3 linked regions of the Oryza sativa Japonica Group genome follow. The main gene of each other region encodes a partner of the protein of the gene in region 2 in a complex. Links are inferred from orthologs where the notes say so. Each region holds a gene or a part of one and is shown on either strand. Other genes may lie near its edges. The genes, in order: large ribosomal subunit protein uL29c, large ribosomal subunit protein bL9c and large ribosomal subunit protein uL4c.

Evidence for each region.
Region 1: large ribosomal subunit protein bL9c (region 2) and large ribosomal subunit protein uL29c share a complex: the UniProt entries of both Arabidopsis thaliana proteins name them as parts of the 50S ribosomal subunit. The link is inferred for Oryza sativa Japonica Group from reciprocal best matches to the Arabidopsis thaliana genes RPL9 and AT5G65220.
Region 3: large ribosomal subunit protein bL9c (region 2) and large ribosomal subunit protein uL4c share a complex: the UniProt entries of both Arabidopsis thaliana proteins name them as parts of the 50S ribosomal subunit. The link is inferred for Oryza sativa Japonica Group from reciprocal best matches to the Arabidopsis thaliana genes RPL9 and RPL4.

What each region holds. Positions count from the first base shown.
Region 1 is NC_089036.1:32,213,179-32,217,531, reverse strand, and holds large ribosomal subunit protein uL29c, read right to left. Parts: upstream 2,477-4,353; 5' UTR 2,446-2,476; coding exon 2,092-2,445; intron 1,151-2,091; coding exon 1,007-1,150; 3' UTR 731-1,006; downstream 1-730.
Region 2 is NC_089036.1:35,819,293-35,823,651, reverse strand, and holds the start of large ribosomal subunit protein bL9c, read left to right. Parts: upstream 1-1,993; 5' UTR 1,994-2,012; coding exon 2,013-2,135; intron 2,136-2,802; coding exon 2,803-2,930; intron 2,931-3,280; coding exon 3,281-3,326; intron 3,327-3,595; coding exon 3,596-3,693; intron 3,694-3,777; coding exon 3,778-3,825; intron 3,826-3,927; coding exon 3,928-4,048; 3' UTR 4,049-4,114; intron 4,115-4,230; 3' UTR 4,231-4,359. Other genes in the region: 4-coumarate--CoA ligase-like 3, read right to left, coding at 1-677. UniProt on the Arabidopsis thaliana protein: Binds to the 23S rRNA.
Region 3 is NC_089037.1:8,802,649-8,806,915, reverse strand, and holds large ribosomal subunit protein uL4c, read right to left. Parts: upstream 3,120-4,267; 5' UTR 3,052-3,119; coding exon 2,118-3,051; intron 958-2,117; coding exon 920-957; 3' UTR 703-919; downstream 1-702. Other genes in the region: peroxisomal nicotinamide adenine dinucleotide carrier, read right to left, coding at 4,122-4,267. UniProt on the Arabidopsis thaliana protein: This protein binds directly and specifically to 23S rRNA. May play a role in plastid transcriptional regulation.

The sequences.
Region 1 (4,353 bases), about 3.6 Mb from region 2:
GGGGCTGATATCCTCTTCATTTCATTTCTTATCTACCCAACCAAATTATCAGCAACATCACTTCGACCTTGATGACTTGAGACTTTCAACAAAAGAATTGCATGGATGCTATTTCCACTTGTTGGCATTTATCTTCAAACAATCACCAACTCAGTACTCTGCTCACTAAACAATTAGCTAAAAAAAGAGGAAGACAATAGTTGACTAAAAGATTACCTTGTGAGTGAAGCCTCTCTACATCTCAAGTTAAGATCTGTTGAAGAGATCAGAATAACAAGTTTTGGCTGAAGGGCCAAGCCACCTGGGCTTGCTTATGAAACTGATGATGGATCTAGGATGGCTCCCTAGCTCTGTGCAGAGATACCTGCAGCATACTCTAAAGCTAGAGTAGAAGGGGAAAGCCCAACATGCTTTAGGACAGTCTAACAGAGCTAGTTTAAGCATAAATCAGTGTTGAACAATAACATAAATCTAGGTGACCGACACAACAAGCCACAAGAACGTGGGCTTGGAGACAGTTGTACAGTTTTGAAACGTTTGATAAAACAGTGAACTTGAGTTTGGAGCAAAGCAGGGCACCAAAATTCCAAGCGAACTATTATAGACATGGCCTAATTCTCTTGTTTTTGTTACTCCGTATTCCAGAGACACTTCTTTAGAACTCTGCATATCTGCCTCTTATAGTATGTACGTACCCACAACTTTGTGACAGGTGAATTTGAATAGGCAGTTTGAGTTTCAACAAGTGTATAGCATACACTCGTTAAGCACAGTTTCATATATCAGTAATATAAGTGCATATATGGACAACACATTTTGAATAAACTGAAATTTACACAAATGGAATTGGTAATAGAACTTTTGGTTTTGACAGCAAGGACTTGGAAATCAGTTAATGTGAATTACATATCAATCCATTATAAGGAATGAAACCACAGGGAGAAAGAAACCTTCCTTCAAGACATGCATGAAATGACTTCTACAGACTGTCTGCTTTTGTGGCTCTCTATTCCTCCTTGTTCTCCCTTAGAGATGGTGGTGGTCTAACCACGATGCTTTGCTTCCATTTCCTGTCAAGCTTCCTAGACAATCTCTTGTTGATTCCTTGTTCAATTTCCCGTTCTCTTTTGACAGTCAGCATACGAGCAATCTGATGCGAAGATGACAACCCAAGTCAATGCTAAATTTAGATAGTAGAAAGCTGCTATTGAAGCAAGATGAGCAGGGTGAGAAAAACAACAGGAAAAAAAAATCTGATATCCTCCTCCTAAAAGGCAAGAAGCATTGATCGAGGCAGATATAAGTATGCATTACTCTGCTGCTAACTATTTGTCCTGTGCTGTCCCTGAGCAGAGGTGGAGACCTGAACTCCAAAGCAAGTGATAATTCATAACAATTGACTTATCAGAAGCCCTCAAGAAGAACAAGGTATCACATAACTGACCGTAGAATTAGTTCTTGTGTACTATCTGCATTTTGACGTCCTCAGAACAAAGTTTTGTTCCATTTTAAATTTTGGTCCACTGAAGGTTAATTTAACACTACTTTCCCAAGAACAGTATAAAAGCTCTTCAGATACACATTGCATTGCAATATCATTCTTCATGTAGTACTCTATGCACTAAAATCCAATAAACAATACTACAAACCCAAAGTAGATACTATGTAAGAATACGTAAATGGATGTCAGCATGACTTTCTAATCAAATTAAGTAAAAAAAAATTGCTTCTGAGACTGAAATTGTCCAAGCATTAACCCAAATCATCTGTAAATTCAGTATGGGCCAATATGCAACTGATAAAAATCAGGCAAAATTCCACCAACAAATTGGTAAGTTATTCCACTATTCTGAACCTGAAATCAACTCAATATATCTGAACATAATCAACTCAGTACTAGAGGTTGAACAAAAGGGCCTTGTAAACAGAACACACTGAGCAGAACATGCGACCACTCCACACCCATTTGGAAGTAGAAGGTGGAATTTCCACTCGTAGGTTGAACGCATTTTGGCCAGGAGTAAATGCTAAACTTTCGCAATGGAATTAGCAGTTGTGGTATATCTGTACCCCATGGAGTAAGAGACATACCCTCTTGCGCATGCGGCCGAACTCGCTGGATTTGAACTCCTGGCGCGCGGAGCGCTTGAGGCGGAGCATGAAGAGCTCCCCCTTCAGGTCCACCACTTCCTCCTCGATCTTCTCCGTCGGCATGGCCCGAATCTCCTCCAGCTCCTGCTCCCTCTTCGCCATCCTGGCCACGGCCGCGTCGCCCCTCCCCGCTGGCAGCCGCGGCGGCGCCGCCGCCGCCGCCAGTCCCGGGAACGGCGCCAGCGACGCCCCTCCGGTCAGGAGGCCGAGGAAGGCCGTGCGGGGAGTGGAGACGGCGAGCCCACGGGGAGTCGAGGCGAGGGGGGACGCCGCGGCGAGGGACATCGTCGCCATCTTTTGCGCTGCGCTCGCGTCTGCGCTCTCTGCCGGTCGGGGTTCGTGGATAAGGGGGTTTATCTGGTCATGTTGATTAGCCACTCGGGGCACGAATCTTCAAGCATTATCGGACGGCTTTCACTTGCTTAATATGCATGTCACATCTCTAAATATCGAAATCTACGCGGATTCGCGTGCAAATAACCCCTCCACGTGGCGCTGCACGATTCCAGCTTTCGTCTCCCTCTCGCAGCCGTCAGATCACAGATCAACGGTGTGGAATAGCTGCGGTGGACCTCGTTGTAATATGTGAGGTTTTAGGGGTCTTTTTGAAAAAGTTATACCAAACCTGCAATGCCCTTCTCTCCGCCGGCGCCCCCGCCCCCGCTTCCTCCGCCTCATTCGTCGGAGGTCGACTTGTCCTCCTACGCCGATGTCGCCGCCTCTTCCTCCTCCCCGCGCTCCAGCTCCACCTCCGCCCCTCCGACGCCCTAGGCTGACCCTCCCACGCGCCAGCGCGCCGTTCTGTGCCGTCTTTCCCCTCAAGTTCGGCGGCGGTGGCATAGATCCACCTCGTCGCTGGATGGGGCGATGAGTTCGGTTGCCGTGCTTGGGGATGGGGAGGAGGAAATCACATGCATCGCTACGTCCGTCTTCGCTTCTGCCTTTTGATTCGCCGACCGCCTCTCTCCCCAAGTCGCGGCACCAAGGGGATCTCGGACGGAGGCCACTGGCCGTGCAACAAAGGGCGTGGCTGAGGACCGTGCTACCGCCGCCGGATGCCGTCATGCAGGAGCGGGAGCTCCCTCCCCTGCTTCCCTACGGGTTCACAGTTTCACACCACAGCTGATTAATTCCACCTGTAATTAAGAAAAAAGAAGGAATTTCTTTTGTTGTTTTCGTTGATTTTTGCGTGTTACACGATGCTACTGAATAATGCTCAGATTGGCACCAAGGAATGAATGAGTTGCCAAAAATTAACTGTCACATTGTAACATGTTTTGTCTTTGTCTGAAATCTGAAGAGTTGGCCTTTCTTGACTTACAGTACGAGGGTGGTGCAGCTGAGGGTAGCAGAAGACCAAGCATCTGGAACACCTTCACACATCAGCACCAAGGCATGTTAACTACATCTCTGTTCACCTTTGCCTGCTTAAGCTGTGCTCTGTACAGAATTATGTTAATCAAGTTCAATTAAGTGTATTTGTATATCTACAAGTATAAAATTTGTCCTATTTAGCAACCAGAAACACTTCAACGATGTAAAGCAGAAATTAACAAGCTGAATACACAATGACAGAAAGGTATGCAGAATCAAGAAGCATATGGATTGTGCATCAAGTCTGACTGTTGCACTCCTTTTTTGAGAGAGAGAGATTTGATCTTTCACTGTGAGCGTAAATGCGTAATGGTATATTAAGTCCTACTACCATTTTACTCTCTTTTTTTTTCATGTTGCTTTCTCTGTGAACACAGCAATATATCAAGTTATAACTGCTTTACTCAATTTGTTTTCTACGAGAAGTTCGTTCATTCACTGTGAGCATTAAGGCGTAAAAGATTGTGCATCTACATGATGAGCCGTATCAGGGGTGCATACAAATACAACGGCTATGTCGATATGACGTGCACTCTGTACCAGGACCGGATTTATTTTTTTCCCAAAATGGACGCAGGATTGCTCAGATGAATACGATGGATGAGGATGAGAATGATTGGGCTGTGGTTTTATCGAGTTGGTATGGCGGTATATGCTGACAGATAATTTCTATGAAATGATATGCAATTCATATGAAATTATTTTTTGTGCCTCAATATTGGCTTATATGGTTATATTTGTTGTAATCATATTGGCAGTCTACTTAACATTTTAGAGCATTTTAATGAACACAAGATATTAGAGTATTTTTAAAACGAAATTCCTGAG
Region 2 (4,359 bases):
ACACGGCCCTCCTCCGGCAAGCTTGCGCCGGAGACGGCGGCGATGAGGTCGGCGTGCGTCATGGTCGCCGCCGTCTTGGTGGTCGCCGAGGAGTAGAACACGAAAGCTACATCCGATGGTCGTGGCCTCGCCGCCGCCGCCGACGCCTCAGGAGAAGCCAACGCCGTCGGGTCACCGTCGTCCATGAGCTCCTCCGCGGAGAGCGCACGGGGATCCATTGATCGTGACGTGAGCAGCAGCGGCACGCCTGCTCCGGCGACCTTCTCGGCCACCTCCGGCGCCGCGACGACGACCACCGCGCCCGAGCTGCGCGCCACGGTGGCCACCTCCTCAGCCGTGGAGCCCGGGTCGGCGGCGACCACCACGCCACCGGCGGCCAGAACGCCAAGAACTATGGGCGGGAGCAGGAGCGAGTTGGGCGAGAGCACCAGAACGGCGTCGCCACGGCGGAGGCCGAGCCCGAACCGGAGCCCCGAGGCGAGGGAGAGCGCGGCACGGCGGAGGGCGACGAACGAGAGCGTCGTCGTTCGTCCGCCGCCGGCGCCGGCGACGTCGACGACGAAGGCGGCAGCGGCGGAGGCCGTGGTGTCGGGGTGGGGCAAGCGGGAGAGCACGAAGGACGCCGCGTCGCCGGCGGCGGCGGCGGCCGAGTACTCGGATTCCAAGATTTCCTCCATGGTATTGGTATCTCGATCTTTGGGTGTAACGATCGATGGAGAATTGGATTGGAGATGAAGCGAAGGTGGAAGAGGGTGTGAGGATTTTTAAAGTTTTGGCGCGCTAGCTAGCTTAGCTAGCTTCGTGGAGTCCGCTTGTTTGGTTTCTCCGATGGCGGGAAGGACGAAGTCATGGACGGCTGCATGACATGACGACGACGATGACATATACTCGATTATATACCCCTCTTCTCTTCGGTTTTCTCATCTCGTTGAGCAGTAGACATACTAATTCAATAAGATATATAATCGCCATTCTTTTTAAGAACGATTTGCTAGGTTTTTTTTTAATTTTTGTTCCTTTCGAGAAACAGGTCACCAGCTGGAGATCTTTGTCAGAAAAAGTACAACAAGATGATACTGGAGTATGATATACGAGGATGATATTTTGATGATACTCGTTGATAATTAAACAATGATACTTGATTATACTCTTTGATATTATTCATGAAGATACGGAGTATTTGCTAATACTCGTTCTTGCACATTGATACTTGATGATACTCGTTGATATTTGCTTATACTATTAATACACGTTTATACGTAATGGTAGCTAGTGATGTATCGTTGAGTTTCAAGATAGCACCAAAATAGTGTTATAATAATATATTTCTCGATTTATGTTATAACATGAATATTAGTGAAGGACCTAATATCAAATAATTAGAAGGGGTGAGGTTACGAATCCAGGTCATTTAGGCTATCACCTTGTGGAGCTAGCCGGAAGACCCCTGAGTGTTTCTCTTAATGTATGTTATAACATCTTGGCATCACATGTACTATCTATCTATCTTAGTAATATCGTCGAGGTATCACGTACATATATATCTCCTACCTTTCTCTATACGTTGAGTGGAAGGGGGTTACAATTTGGTGGATTATTATTACGACTTGTTTGGTATGAAACCATGCCAAAATATTGGCAATGCCAAATCTTGAGTAAATTTTGGTATTACTAAATTTTTGTTATTGTCTATTTGGCTTCACCTTATTGATTTAGCAAAATTTGACTCTAATTCAAATAGTTACGTGTTAACTATTCAAAGTTACCAAATAATTTATTTTTGACCTTTAAGTTATCAAAGAATTAGTAAGGCAAGAAGGAGCGCCAAACCAAAATGACCCTTAATCTTCAAGCCCATGACAACCCCGAAGAAAACCTTTGATACTGGGCCGATTTGAAAGGCCCAAAGCAGCGCAAAGCCCAAGAGAGAGGGCACCAAATCCGTTGGGGAAGTGGATAAGAGAGCAGCAGCCGCAGTTCCTTCCCTTCCCCCGCAATCCATCCCCAACGCCATGGCCTCCACGCTCGCCTGGAGCTCCGCCGCCTCCTCCTCCGCCCCCTCCTCCCGCCTCCCGCCGCGCCGCTCCCCGTCGCTGGTCGTCGTCGCCCAGGGCAAGGTCAAGAAGTATCGCCAGGTTTGGCTTCCACTTGTATTTTCTCTCCACAGTTGCAGCATGTATGTATGTATGTATTTAATTGCGATTCGTTCGAGCTAAGCAGTACTAGTACTGACTGATTGAACAAGCTGTTGCTGGTGATGCTTTTGTTTTGCCTCTTTTAGAACTAGCCATACCCAATGTACTGTCTGTCACCACCCTGTCCACTAATCAGTACAGTAGATTACAAAGCGCATGCGACTGCATTCCATCGATCGAAAAATTCGAAATGCAGCAGCTGTAAGCTTAAGATTACTGTGTGCATTCACACATCTGAGTATAGGAAAAGATACATTGCCATGGACGCATGCTCTGATGCAGTACATGGAAATGGAAGAAACTATCGTCATGTTTTTAATTAGGTGCCTCTTAGCATTGCAACTCAGATGCAAAAGTCATCTCTAATATGATTCTGTATATGCCCCGGAACGCCGGAATTGTTGGTTTGGCCATGCTGTTTGTTTGTAGGGAAAGTTGCAACTAAAAGGCATCTAGATACACCCAGTTCAAAATTTGCACCTGTAAACTGTAAAATGTTCCAAGCCTATGTCATCATCTTCCTTGTCTATTATGCATTTCTATACTTTAGCATGTAATGCACGATTCCGTATTTGATTTACTTCACTTGAGTTTCTTTTTCTCCCAGGTCATACTGACAGATGACATAGCAGAGGTGGGGAAGAAAGGGGACACGCTTAAAGTGAGGGCCGGGTTCTACCGCAACTTCCTTCTGCCAAAGGGCAAGGCAACGCTGCTCACCCCAGAAGTACTCAAGTAATCTTCTGTCTTACAGTCATTTACCACATCTCACGAATTGTATAGGCTATGTTTCAACCAACAGATAGGTGCTCCTAGTAAATTAATTGACGTATGCTTATGTTTCATCGTAGTTGGTTTTCACAGTATGCTGCAGGTGTAAATTTGCAGCTATTTATTCTGTTGTGTTAGCCATTGTATCTCTTGCCTCCTTGTGGAGCCCAGGATTGACATATAAATCTGCAAACTTTTATAGATGCCTATTCTGCATTTCTAGTTCAGTTCTTCTGGGGTGTTCAACATGTTCAATTAGTTCTTGTAAAAGGATGGCTAGTAAGCTACTTAATTTCCTCTGCTGCTGTCTACAGGGAAATGCAAGTAGAACAGGAGAGGATAGATGCTGAAAAGAAGCGGGTAAGTAAACCTATTATTCTATTTGTGGACTCAGTAAGAATTGATATAGTTGAAACTTATTCCTATTTGTTCCTGTCTGTCTAAAAACTACTGTGGTAGTTATACCCTACTAATCCTTGTTCTCCAGGGTACGTAGTTGTGGTTTAGCTTATTTTGTAAAAAGTCTAAAGCATGATTTGTTCCTACCAATATCATTTTCCATAAGAGTATAAGAACTTTCATCCAGTGTTAGCATAATCTTACCCTGTTGAGCATTTGTGCTTGAGTAGGTAAAAGAAGAGGCACAGCAACTTGCCCGTGTTTTTGAAACTATTGGGGCATTCAAAGTGCCACGTAAAGGTGGGAAAGGAAAACAGATATTTGGGAGGCAAGTTTTTATCGAGTAGATAGTTCTTTATGTATCGTCTTATTTTACTTGCACTTAATAACAAGTTTTTCTTCTATTCTACAGCGTCACAGCACAAGATCTTGTTGACATCATAAAGTCACAACTTAATAGGTATGCCCTTCTAAGTGCACTGACAATCACTACCTTTTAAGGAAGGATTGCGATGCTCTATTTGCTGCTGTTGCTTTGCTTACCGGAAACTATTTCATGTAGGGATGTCGACAAGCGTCTCGTGACAGTGCCAGAAATTCGTGAAATTGGGGAATACATTGCAGAGATTAAGCTTCACCCTGAAGTCACAGCTCAAGTAAGGCTGACCGTATATGCGAAATAAGCCCTGAAGCTGCTTGATTGAATCTTTAGTGGATGGTGGGCTTTGGATGAATTCTGATTTCACCAGGTAAGCTCATCTGCAAGGCATTCCATTGTTCCTTACCTTTTGCTCCGTTCTTAAGCTGTCATATACATTTCGTCAATTGTGTTAGCAGCTGAATTCATGCAATGATTTACTTGCAGAGATTTTTGCTGAAACTCCAAGGTGCAGTGTCACATCACGGGGCTTGGTCTTTACACATTGCCACTGTCCATCCTACCTGTAAAGTCAGTTTCTTGCACCTTTTTTTTTTTGACAAATTTATTTGTGTT
Region 3 (4,267 bases), on a different chromosome or scaffold from region 2:
GGACTTAAGGATGGCCCAACAACTCTTCTTGCATGACCCAGGTAAGAAAGAAAAATGATGGAATCATTATGGTTAGGCATAAGCAGAGGGTTGGTTCACTAAACCCTCAGGTGATCTACAAGTAAACCTGAGCAAAATGGTCTGTTGTTTACGACTGATCTGGGCTTAGAGTTTCAAGATCAGCATCTAACCCGGGCTATGCTGCTCCAGTGCTCCATGTCCAAGTTGAGCTAGGCTACTTTCCACATTGTAAAATGCAGCAAGTCCTCTGAAAAGACTTGTTAGTTGTTACTTGTTAGAGCTCACCCAGCGAAAAAGTTAGTCATAACAAGGAACAATTCAACAATTTAAGGAGACAAGATTTTGTAATCATACCCCTACTCAAGATGTTACTCTCTCCATTTTATATTATAAGTCGTTTTGACTTTTTTCGGAGTCAAACTTCTGTACGTTTGACTAAGTATATAGAAAAAAAATGGTAACATTTATAATACCAAACTAGTTTTATTAAATGTAACTTTGAATATATTTTTGATAACATGTTTGTTTTGTGTTAAAAATGTTATTATTTTTTCTATCATTTTGGTCAAAATTAAATAAGTTTGACTAGGAAAAAAAAGTCAAAATGATTTATAATATGAAACGGAGGGAGTAGAAAATTAGTGGTAACCAGCAGGTCAACACTGGTTTTTTGAAGCAAGATTGGGAAGCACTTTCTGTATAAAATTGGAAGAAAAATATGCAGTGGTTGACACGACATTGTATTTGAAAATATATGTGCAGTTTGAAGATCTAATATACTGCATCAGTGAAAAAAAAACATTATAAACTTACAACAAAAGTAAGCCAAAAAGCTTCTGCATCAGGGAAGCAATTACCAGACCAACAAACGAAAAACACGCGATCTACACCTCCTTCCCTAGGAATTGCTATCAGCCTCAGTCTCTGCAGCCTCATCTGAAAGTCATACAAAAAGAAGTTCCTGAGAAATGCTCAAAATAAGAGAAAGTTATAATATGCAGCACCAAAATGTAACAGAGAACTGAATGTCAATTAATAATAACTTAGTCCTGTAGCTATGCATAGTATTTACGAAAAGGAAGTGCTTGAGTGATGGAGAAAACATGTGTTTAACTAGGTTTTACCTCTAAAGCAACTTAAACCAGCATATTCACAGCTAACTACTTTATTAAGATGGTTCTAAGGTCTAACAGAACATCTTTGAAGTGAATGATGACAGTGCCAATGGCTGACAATGTTTCAAGTGATAGGTGATAGGGGTAGCTGTGTGGCACAGCAGATTGTGACACTATTATAAGGAGTGTACCAGTATCCCCAGAGTTCTGGTTCAGTGGTGTTCATGGATTCCATGCAGTCTCATTTCTTCTTATTTTTTAGTTTAGTGCTTAGGACTTAATCCACCTTCAGCCGAAAATTTAACCACCATTAGGTGAAGTCATTTTCTATTCGCAAATTGTTGAGTTGCTCATGAGCTCTGAATAAAAACCCTAAGGAGGTGCAAAATAACGAGTAAAATACAGACTCAGTGGGTCTACTGAGAGCTAGCATAGGGGTAGGTGGATCTCTAAGCATGCTTCTAAAATAGACCATTGAATTATGTCATGGACTTATTGGATCTTTCAGGAGGAAAAAAAACCATACGATGTACATTAGCATGGTAAGCATTTTTCCTTTTGCATGCTGGTAAGGATAAGAGAACTATTTCGAAAAAAAAATTAGCTCCATAAGTCTACAAGGCCACAAAGAATTTCTCCATAATAATTAAGATGGTATTCATAAGACAAAACTGGCTACATTTTCTGTTTCTTTGCCACGTTATCTTGTTTTTACCCTTAAAACGCATGTCAGGATCTTTATCAGCATACGTATAGCATCGATCATGATATTTACAACAGAGCATAGCTAAGAGTTAAAAGATAAAAAAAAAAACTACTGTACATGCCATTAAAGCAGAGCATTTTCTCTCCTAACTATCAACTAAAACATGTAAAATAAAGGATCACTGGATAGCATTAGTTACTCAAAGTCATTTCGCACATGCCCACCATAGAAACAATAAAAAGACACCTGGAAATTGTTCATGCATAGCTATGTACCTTGAGCAGCCTCCTCTGCGCTCCCTTCTCCTTCTTGCAACTCCTCTGCTTCCTCCTCACCATCATCCTCGCCATTGGTATCATCCTCATATTCATCAAAAACGGTGGCACCATACCTGGAGTTGAGATAGTTAATGGCGGCCGGGGTGAAGAAGAGCTTGCGGGCATCGAGGATGTCGTATAGGTTGAGAGTCCTGGGGGTTAGCATCTTGAGGGAGCCAATGTTCCTTCCGCTGAGCCGCACATTGTCTGCAAAATCCGTGGCGAAGAACATGGCCTTCTCCTTGGGGTCGAGCCCCCACCGCTGAAGCGCGGCCACGAAGTCCCTGGTCTTGGGACCCGCGGCGAACTCCTCGTCGAACTCCTCCACGACGAATGCATCGTCGGCCACGGCGGCACTGGCGAGCGCGGTGGAGATGGCGAGGCGCTTCTCCTTGCGGTTGATCTTGATGGACCAGTCGCGGGGCTTGGGCCCGAATATGACGCCGCCGCCGGGGCGGAGCGGCGTGCGCATCGACCCGCGCCGCGCCTTCCCCGTCTTCTTCTGCTGGTAGGGCTTCCTGCCGCCTCCCCTGACCTCGCCGCGGGTGAGCGTGGAGGCCGTGCCGCGGCGCTTGTTCTGGCGGTCGGTGATGATGGCGCGGTGCACGACGGCGCGCGCGGTGGAGGGCGGCGCCGACTTGAGGTCGAGGGCGACCTCCCCGACCTTCTCCCCGGTGAAGGAGAGAACCGGGAGGGTGGCCGCCTCGGCGCGAAGGGCGCGGAGGACGGAGATAGCCGCCTTCTGCTTGCCGGCGGCGACGGCGACGCGCGGGGAGGAGGAGGCGGCGGCGGCGGCGGATGGGAGGAAGGAGACCGAGGTGGGGGAGAGGAAGGGCGAGGAGGAAGAGGAGAGCGAGAGGAGGAGAGTCGAGGCCACGGAGGAGGCGGCCATTGCGGCGGCTTCGCTCGCTGCGGTGCGCTGCGTGGGCTGGACGACGGGGAGGCTTTGCCGCTGCAGCTGCGGAGCGGCCGCTTCTCTATCTCCTTATCCACCCCCACCCGACCGGACCGGCCACACTCTCGCGAGTGTCAGCTTAGTCGGTCGCGCCAGACCAGTAAGATACACACACTACTATGTGTTTGGATTTTAGAAGAAGCATCTCTTCATTAAAAAAACTTAGATATTGTTAAAGAAAAACCCTCGAGGCAGTATTAGTCTATTAGATGGTGTTTTTTTTCTAATAAAGATGAAATAAAATAGGAAAGCAAAATGAAAACGGCCCATTAGCTTATGTTTAATTAAGTTTTGATTATTTTAAACTTGAAATTGATTTATTTGATATTTTAAAATATTTTTATGTAAAAAATTCATATGAAACATACCATTTAGCAGTTTAAAAAATGTGTTAGGAAGAATTTGCATCTTAGTAAAGAAGGAGGCTTAGTTTCACCAAAATGAGTTTGAAATAATCAAATTAAATTTCATTTCCTTTTTGTCGGGTCAGATTGCTCATTAGCACTTGTGTATCAGAACAGTTGCCTGAGAACCACATTGACAGATGGGGCGCACCATAGACACAGTTATGCTAAAAATGGACAGGAACTCCAAATTTTCTACTTCTACTTTTGTTCTGAACACTTGCGAAGTTTTCACGATTGCGATCCTCTTCTCGGTTAGCTCTAACAAACAAGCTAAAGAAACTCAAGTAATCTGAACAGATGACTAGCGCTTGCGATTCTCATTGCCAACTTATTTTCTAGTGTTTCAATCTTCCATAACAGTATACTTTACACGAGCAACAGAGATAGCCTACCCAATATATACCATCATTATTGGTTCCTACAAGAATCACAGTGGTAATTGTACTACATCTTTAATCTCCTTTTTTTGGAGAGCCTACAGTCGATCAGAGTCTCACAGATAACTTGATATCTCCTAACAGGGGCGCTTGGCAACTCTGTCCATCGCTTTATGGAAACAATTGTGGTATAAGTAGGGAACTAACTCTTGTACAACCTAGATCATCTTAATGGCTTCGATGGTAACTTCTTAACAAGGCTGGTGTTGCCGGTTACCAATAATCGAGCGCCCTTCACCAGTTCCTCCTTAATCATAAAAAGGAGAGCAGAAGCAAAAACACTTTGTACGATTTTTGTGCTCATTCCTT